Linked DNA regions of Rattus norvegicus. The protein of the gene in region 2 interacts with the protein of the main gene of each other region in a biochemical or structural test. Links are inferred from orthologs where the notes say so. Each region holds a gene or a part of one and is shown on either strand. Other genes may lie near its edges.

The links. The genes of interacting proteins can lie anywhere in the genome.
Region 1: of the proteins of Ptprc (region 2) and Csk, one has a biochemical effect on the other in vitro, tested with the Homo sapiens proteins (2 studies listed by IntAct). The link is inferred for Rattus norvegicus from reciprocal best matches to the Homo sapiens genes PTPRC and CSK.

The regions. Positions count from the first base shown.
Region 1 is NC_086026.1:66,927,424-66,931,635, reverse strand, and holds the start of Csk (tyrosine-protein kinase CSK), read left to right. Parts: upstream 1-1,361; 5' UTR 1,362-1,408; coding exon 1,409-1,423; intron 1,424-1,749; coding exon 1,750-1,863; intron 1,864-1,975; coding exon 1,976-2,088; intron 2,089-2,377; coding exon 2,378-2,597; intron 2,598-3,386; coding exon 3,387-3,480; intron 3,481-3,673; coding exon 3,674-3,739; intron 3,740-3,819; coding exon 3,820-3,919; intron 3,920-4,011; coding exon 4,012-4,102; intron 4,103-4,212. UniProt on the Homo sapiens protein: Non-receptor tyrosine-protein kinase that plays an important role in the regulation of cell growth, differentiation, migration and immune response.
Region 2 is NC_086031.1:52,193,708-52,197,326, reverse strand, and holds part of Ptprc (receptor-type tyrosine-protein phosphatase C isoform 1 precursor), read left to right. Parts: coding exon 1-135; intron 136-1,369; coding exon 1,370-1,504; intron 1,505-2,549; coding exon 2,550-2,696; intron 2,697-3,619. UniProt on the Homo sapiens protein: Protein tyrosine-protein phosphatase required for T-cell activation through the antigen receptor. Acts as a positive regulator of T-cell coactivation upon binding to DPP4.

The DNA.
Region 1 (4,212 bases), on a different chromosome or scaffold from region 2:
TCAGAGTCCAACCATAGCGCTTCACAGGGAAGCTCCTTGCTACCCTACAGTGTTCATGCCAGGGCCACTGGAGCCCTTCTCATACGGCAGACAGACAAGGGTGCTTGGGATAGGCTCAGCAAGTCGAGGGTCACAGAGGCCCAGATTGATTCAGCCTTGCTTCATCAGCTTCTACCCAGGCCAGTTCTTCCTTCCTTCCTTCCTTCCTTCCTTCCTTCCTTCCTTCCTTCCTTCCTTCCTCCCTCCCTCCCTCCCTCCCTCCCTTCCTTCATTCATTCATTCATTCATTCATTTTTATGTGTGTTGGTGTTTTGTGTGCATGTATCTAATAGAAGCTAATATCCTAATATCTAATAGAAGCTAATATCCTAATATCTAATAGAAGCTAATATCCTAATATCCTAAGCTTCTCTATGTCATTTTTTCTGGCCATTTTCTTTTAAAACAAGTTTTTAACCATATAGCTTAGGCTGGCCTCCAACTAGCCATCCCTCTGCCTCACCCTCTTCCCTCTGCTTTTCTAACAAATATTTATTTGCTTGATTGCTCATGGATTTAAAACGTACAGATCCATACCTTGTACTAGAGTTTGAACCTAGAGCCTTGTTGAGCATTCCAGGGAACCACCATTCACTAAGGTCAATCCCTGGCTCCCATCCTCTACCTTTTGAAGTCTTAAGGGCTCAGCTTCTGTGCTTCCTGCATATGTGTGTGCGTGCAGGTGTGCATGCACTTGCTCATATATAACAGCACTCACGCTGAAAGTCCTCTTCCATTCGTAGTATACATAGCTATAAAGTAAAGGCTAGACCTCACCTGTCCCATCTCAGGTGGGCCTGCCATCTAACCGTGTGATCACAGAAGGGCCCTGCCTGCCTTGTGTGACTTCTCCCTACCTTGTCTACTTTATTTTCAGCACTTGGGCAGTTCCTGATCTGCCAGTTACTATAAAGCACACCAGGGAGAGCACCTGCCCCTCCTGGTAGACACGGGCTCTTTTCTGTTGGGTGTGTGCTGAGAAGGAAACACAGACATTTGTCTGTATAGAGGCCTCAGGACAAGCTTTCCTGGACCACATAGCACCTGCCCGGTTTCAGAGTTTCCCTGGACTTCCTCCCCTCTAGTCTTCCCGGCCTCGTTGGCCTTCTTGGTCATTCTGTGGGGCCTGTAAGGACTGGTAGGCACCCCTCTGGGACTCTTAGGTCTGTGTGTGTCTACCTGAGGCTGGTTAGAACAGCCCAGGACCCACATGTCACGGACCACGGCTTGCACTCCTTTAAGGAAGAAGTGATGATCACAGTCAGGGTGGGGGTCATCTCATCTTCAACTTGATTCTTTTCCCGCAGCTCTAATGGTACCAAGTAACAGACCGGCCTTCCTGTAGCACGGGGACGCCAGATCTCAGAAGATGTCGGCTATACAGGTATCGTGAGGCTGTGGTCCCATGTCTTGCCCTCCCCAGGCCAGACAAAGAATAGGTACTAAGAGCAGCTTGTTCCAACCATGCCCAACCCTCCATCCCAGTCAGGACTTTGTGTGAAGTAACACTAATTCCAGTGTGCTCTGTCGGGCACAGGGCCCCAGAGAGGGCTACAGAGGAATTTGAGCTAGAAGGGCTGAGAACTCTCTGGAGAAGTTATCTCCCCAGGTTCATGGAGGTTAGCTAAGATGCTTTGGTCTCAGGGGCATTCGGGCAGGTTGGTAGAGAAGCTCCCCAGGCTGCACCGACACCTGTCCCTTATCCTCTAGGCCTCCTGGCCATCCGGTACAGAATGTATTGCCAAGTACAACTTCCATGGCACTGCCGAGCAAGACCTTCCCTTCTGCAAAGGAGATGTGCTCACCATTGTGGCTGTCACCAAGGTACTTGGGACCTACGATGCCTGTCCCATCACCTCCAGGGGTTTCTTCTGGGTTTGGTTGCTTGGCCGAGGGAGGCAGGCCTCAGAGTGTGTCTGTGTTGTTCTCTCTCCAGGACCCCAACTGGTACAAAGCCAAAAACAAAGTGGGCCGTGAGGGCATCATCCCAGCCAACTATGTCCAGAAGCGTGAGGGTGTGAAGGCAGGCACCAAGCTCAGCCTTATGCCGTGAGTACCAAGAGGACGGAGGGCTGCAGTCTCCTGGTTTGGGGGAAAGAGGAAATGGCAGTGGTCCTCCTGGAAAGGCATCAGAGCAAAACAGCCCTGAGTTAGGGCTGTGAGGTGAGGGCGTTCTAGGGATGGGGCCAGAGGCTGGAGCTAATGGATGCAGAAGGAAAAAAGGGGTACAGGAAGAAGATGACGCCCTTAGATTGGGAGTTCTGGGAAGGTGTGTGCAGGAGGCTGGCGGAAGCTTCCGGGTCAGCACCCTGGTGACGCCCAGCCTTGCCACCCGTAGCTGGTTCCACGGCAAGATCACACGGGAGCAGGCGGAGCGGCTTCTCTACCCACCAGAGACAGGCCTGTTCCTGGTGCGGGAAAGCACCAACTACCCTGGGGACTACACACTGTGTGTGAGCTGTGAAGGCAAGGTGGAGCACTACCGCATCATGTATCACGCGAGCAAGCTGAGCATTGATGAGGAGGTGTACTTCGAGAACCTCATGCAGCTGGTGGAGGTGAGTGGGGAACATGCCTGCCCGGGGTGAGCCCCCTTCTCGTACACTCGCGCCTGAGTCTACCTGAGGACACTTAGGACAAACCCAGACCCAGCTCACCTGGCAGGGTGACCTGGACATGTTGATGGCTTCTTTGAGTCTGAGGTTCCTCACATGTGTGGAGCACCACCTGTGTGAGAGAGCTCAGTTCTGTCCCCAAAGGCCCACAAATAGGGTGGTATCCCCATTTTATAGATAAGGACACAAAGGTTCAGATCAGTGAAGGTCCCCTCATCTGTGCAGGGGAAGCACTCGTGTGATCCGGAACTCACTTCTTCCAGCACTCAGAGCCTCTGGGTTGCACACTGCCGTCAGGATCCTTGAGACTCACAGGTCCTTGATGCTTCCAACAGCAGCTCCACCCAGCTCTGGCCAGGCCATATCTGGCATCAGATACCTATAGGTTCCCTCCAAGCTCGTTCTCATCTCTGGCTTACATTGGCCCTGAGTACACCTGGTAGAGGCTGGTATAGGGAGCAGGCAGGTTTTGCTATCTACCTTGAGATATTGGTGAGGCCCAAAGCAGTAGTGGCAGTTGGGAGTCCAGGAGCTGAGTGTGGATAGGGCGATGTGGGAAATGGACAGGCATTATACCCTTCTCGAAATGAGGAACCCTCTCCGCACAAAGCAGCTCAAGGTTGTGTGGAATGGCCTCTGCTGCCCTCTGGTGGTCAGACCTGAACAGTGCGTGGGTCAATGAGAAATGGGGCCCAGTAGGTCTGGTTCTGAGGGCCTGCCCCACCTCTGCAGCACTACACCACAGATGCCGACGGACTCTGCACTCGCCTCATCAAACCAAAGGTCATGGAGGGCACAGTGGCGGCCCAAGATGAATTCTACCGCAGTGAGTGCACAATGTCTCCGATCTCCCACTTGCCCACTTCCCCTCACCCGGGCCCTCTGCCCTTACCCTAGAGGCTTGGAAACCCCAGACACCCACATCTAAAACAGTTTAGCCTGTGCCTATCATCTCAAGTGCTTCAGATTAGCTGTTCACTTCCCTGACACACCGCCTCCCTCCTGGTCCCTGTCCCCAGGTGGCTGGGCCCTGAACATGAAGGAACTGAAGCTGCTACAGACGATAGGAAAGGGGGAGTTTGGAGGTGAGTTGAGGGAGTGGGGGTGGGGGGATGAGGTGGGGGAGCCCCAAGAGTCCAGGAAACAACCCCTGCTTCTCCCACAGATGTGATGCTGGGGGATTACCGAGGCAACAAAGTTGCAGTCAAGTGCATTAAGAATGATGCTACAGCCCAGGCCTTCCTGGCTGAAGCCTCTGTCATGACGTGAGTTGGGCTGGACATAAGAGCAGGCCGCCTGGGTGGAGTGTGGCGGGGGATGGGCAAGCTGAACTCTTGACCACCCTGTCCTGCCACAGGCAGCTTCGGCACAGCAACCTAGTCCAGCTACTGGGTGTGATTGTGGAGGAGAAGGGTGGGCTCTACATCGTCACAGAGTACATGGCCAAGGTAGGTGCTCCTCAGCCTCAACCTGCCTGTCCCACAGCCCCTCCACTCTGCCCCTGCTGAGCTTTGAAGTTGTCGGGCCTGGCCAGTCGTTTATTGGCCAACTTTAAATA
Region 2 (3,619 bases):
ACAAAAAACCTAAGTGTGAATATACGGATTGTGAAAAAGAGTTAAAAAATCTACCAGAATGCTCACAGAAAAACGTCACTCTCTCCAATGGCTCATGTACTCCAGATAAAATTATAAATTTAGATGTACCACCAGGTGAATGTCAACTTCCTTCTATCTGTGTATTTAGGACAGCAGGGAGAGTTCATATATGTGTTCTGGTGCCTCTTCAGGCTAATGTGGTCAGAAAAAAAGAGTGAGGGAAAGCAAGTGAGCTTTGTTAAGTGTGTTCCCTGTTGAGAACCCTGGAGAGCACAGAGAAATACATACCTATTCCTTAGGAGCATCGCCTGTCTTTCTTGTTTCTTTTACAAAGAGGTTCCCAGCTGGGAGGCGGTGGCCCTCCCCCTTTAATCTCAACATTGCATTTGGCAGAGGCAGGCAAATCTCAGTGTTCAACAGCAGCCAAGGTCTACAGAGCAAGCTCCAGGACTGCCAAGGATACACAGAGAAACGCTGTTTCAAAACAAACAAACAAAGAAACAAACAAACAGAAAACAAGCCAAAAAAAAAAGACAACAAAAAACCAAAACAACAACGGCAAACCACCAAGAAAGCACTTCCTATGGATTAGAAACAGCCTACTTTGTATTTTGTGAATTAATTTTACATGAGACTGCTGGTATTTCTCTTTAAATTCAAAGTGTTTTCATTAGAGAAAAGAACATAGCTAAACATTTAATGTTTTCTGGGGGAAAAAAATCAAAGGGGGAGTTCTAGTCATGTTAATACCAAAGTTGTGAACTCAGAATGTGGAAGGCTAAGGCAGAAGCAGTTTATGTGTTCAAAGCCAGCCTAGGCTGCATCATGAGTTCTGTACCAGCCCGAGCTATGGTGTGACATTACACCTTCTTTCCAAAACCCAAAATAGATCAACGGACAAGCATCAAAAGCCCAGAGAAATTGTTTTTCAAATGGGAAAATCAGCTGTTTATCTTGATGCTTCCCTGAGTTGCATTTATAAAGAAAGCAGCGTACAGTTCTACTAAAATCTGTGGTATAGAGATAATGTGCTATCTTCCCTAATGAATGCCAAAGTCTGAGGTAATAGACAGACTGCCTGCAAACAGCGACTACACATTATGTAGATAGAGCCAACACATGTTTGTATAGTTATGCGTCAACCGAAACAAAGATAAATTAAAAGTTAGGAGTGTGAATAGATCATCAAGAGGCATCAGACCCTGGGAGAGCTTAGAGTCCTCCCAGTGAAATTTTCCACTTGCAAGAGTGGACTTCATGGGTGTGATTTCAGAGTCTTTACTTGTGAAGCTTCACATCTCCACGCCAGGAACCATAACCTAAAGGCACTTCTATGTTTTCTCCACAGGGACTCACAACTTTAACTTAACAAACTGCACACCAGACATAGAAGCTAATACCTCAATTTGTTTGGAGTGGAAAATAAAAAACAAATTTACCTGCGACATTCAAAAGATTTCATACAATTTCCGTTGTACACCAGGTATGATACTGTGCAGAGAAGCTCTATTATCAGAAGTTATTCCAGATGTGGCTTAAAGGCTCTTGTCCTCCTCACCCACCCTGAGTGGCCCACCACAAAGTAGAATGAAATAACCCTGGTGCCTCTGGCACGGAAACAAACTCACAAAGTAGATAAATGAAAAGAACAACCCGTGGATGATACATACTGCAAAAAATTAATTAAAAGAATTTTCTTGGGCTGGAGAGATGGCTCAGTGGTTAAGAGCACTGACTGTTCTTCTACAGGTCTTGAGTTCAATTCCCAGCAACCACATGGTGGCTCACGACCACCTGTCATGGGGATCCAATGCCCACTTCTGGTGTGTCTGAATACAGGTCAATGTATTCATATATATAAAATAAATAAATACATCTTTTAAAAGACAAATTTTCTTGAGTACTTCTATGTATCAGATATTCTTGAAAGGATGATGAAATGCCAGCATTAAAAAGGAAAGATGATATTTACAGTCTGTAGTAAGGAAACAGAGTGTTATACATAACCAGAGATACATAAATGAAAATCATTTGAAAGTCCAAAAATCCTTGGGTATCAAGGAGAGCAAGTGCTTCTGTGAGTGAGCTTGGGTTTCTATAGAGGTTGGGTCTTTTAAAACATATATTTGAGTTCAATAAGGTGGATTCTTTCTCCTCTGGCCATATAGCCGTGTGCCAGGACACATTTGGCAAGACAGAGGAAGGCACATACATACAGACACAGAAGTGGAAATGTCACCCTGATTGTCAACGCCCTAACGGGAAGTTGCTGGCCTAAGCTGTAAGCAGTATGTTCATAGATGGAACAAATATATCATGAGTTATCAATTTTTTTTTAAAAAATAAGTCACAATGCTGGTTTCTCAACTCAGTCGAGCATAGCAATGCTATTTGCAGGATCTTGGCTTATGAGTTCACCATTTGCAGAGGCCTGGCTCTACCATAAAGTCTTAAGCGCATGGTGCCATAAAAGAAGCCATTATACTGTGTATCATTTCATATACTCATGAGCAATACTTTTCTTTCAGAGATGAAAACATTTGCTTTGGACAAACACGGAACACTTTGGTTACACAACCTTACAGTCCGAACAAATTACACATGTGCTGCGGAAGTCCTCTACAATAACGTAATACTTTTAAAACAAGACAGAAGGGTGCAGACTGATTTTGGGAGTAAGTATATCACTGACATTTATAAAATAAATAAAATTTCTTCTTCTTTCATGGGTTTTCATTCTTTTTTTGGAGAATCACAAAAAATAATGGTATAGAATTACAGAAAGCATATCAGTAAAGAAAAAAGCTTAAATGCAATTTAAGGTGGATTTTAAAAACTAGGCTATACAAGCCTAACTAAAGTTCTTTTCTGTTCTTCAAATTGTGTCTGTTGCAAGACTGATAGGAACAGTTGAAATGGTTTGCATGAATTATTCCCATTTTATTCATTTTTTCTTTCATTCTTTTTATACCATCATTTGCTTTGTACTCTAAAACTTCTTTCCACAATTATGGCCTGCTTCTAACAGAAATAAAATAAGCAAAGAAACTAATAAAACTCAGGCAAATCTAAGTGTTTGAACATAAAATAGGGACTATAGTCATCAGATTTTGGCAATAGAATTAATAACAGGATAAAGCTTATTTAATGGAAAGGGGTTCTAGACATTTGGGGAGAAAGAAGTGAAAATTTCTAATTAAATTTAACATTTATTTGTAAATGTTAATTTTTTAAAATGGTGATTAATGAATGATCAAACATAAAGAAGACAGAAGATGTCCTTGTTCACAGGCAGTAAAGGCATTTCTAGAAGGAAGAGGAGAGAAACAGTAGGAAAGGAGGAAAGGAGAGATAGATAATAGATAGATGATAGATAGACAGATGATAGATAGATAGATGATAGACGATAGATAGATGATAGATAGATGATAGATAGATAGATAGATAGATAGATGATAGATGATAGATAGATGATAGATGGTAGATGATAAATGATAGATAGATGATAGATAGATGCATGATAGATAGATGATAGATAATAGATAGATGATAGGTAGATGGTAGATAGATAAATGATAGATAGATAGATAGATAGATA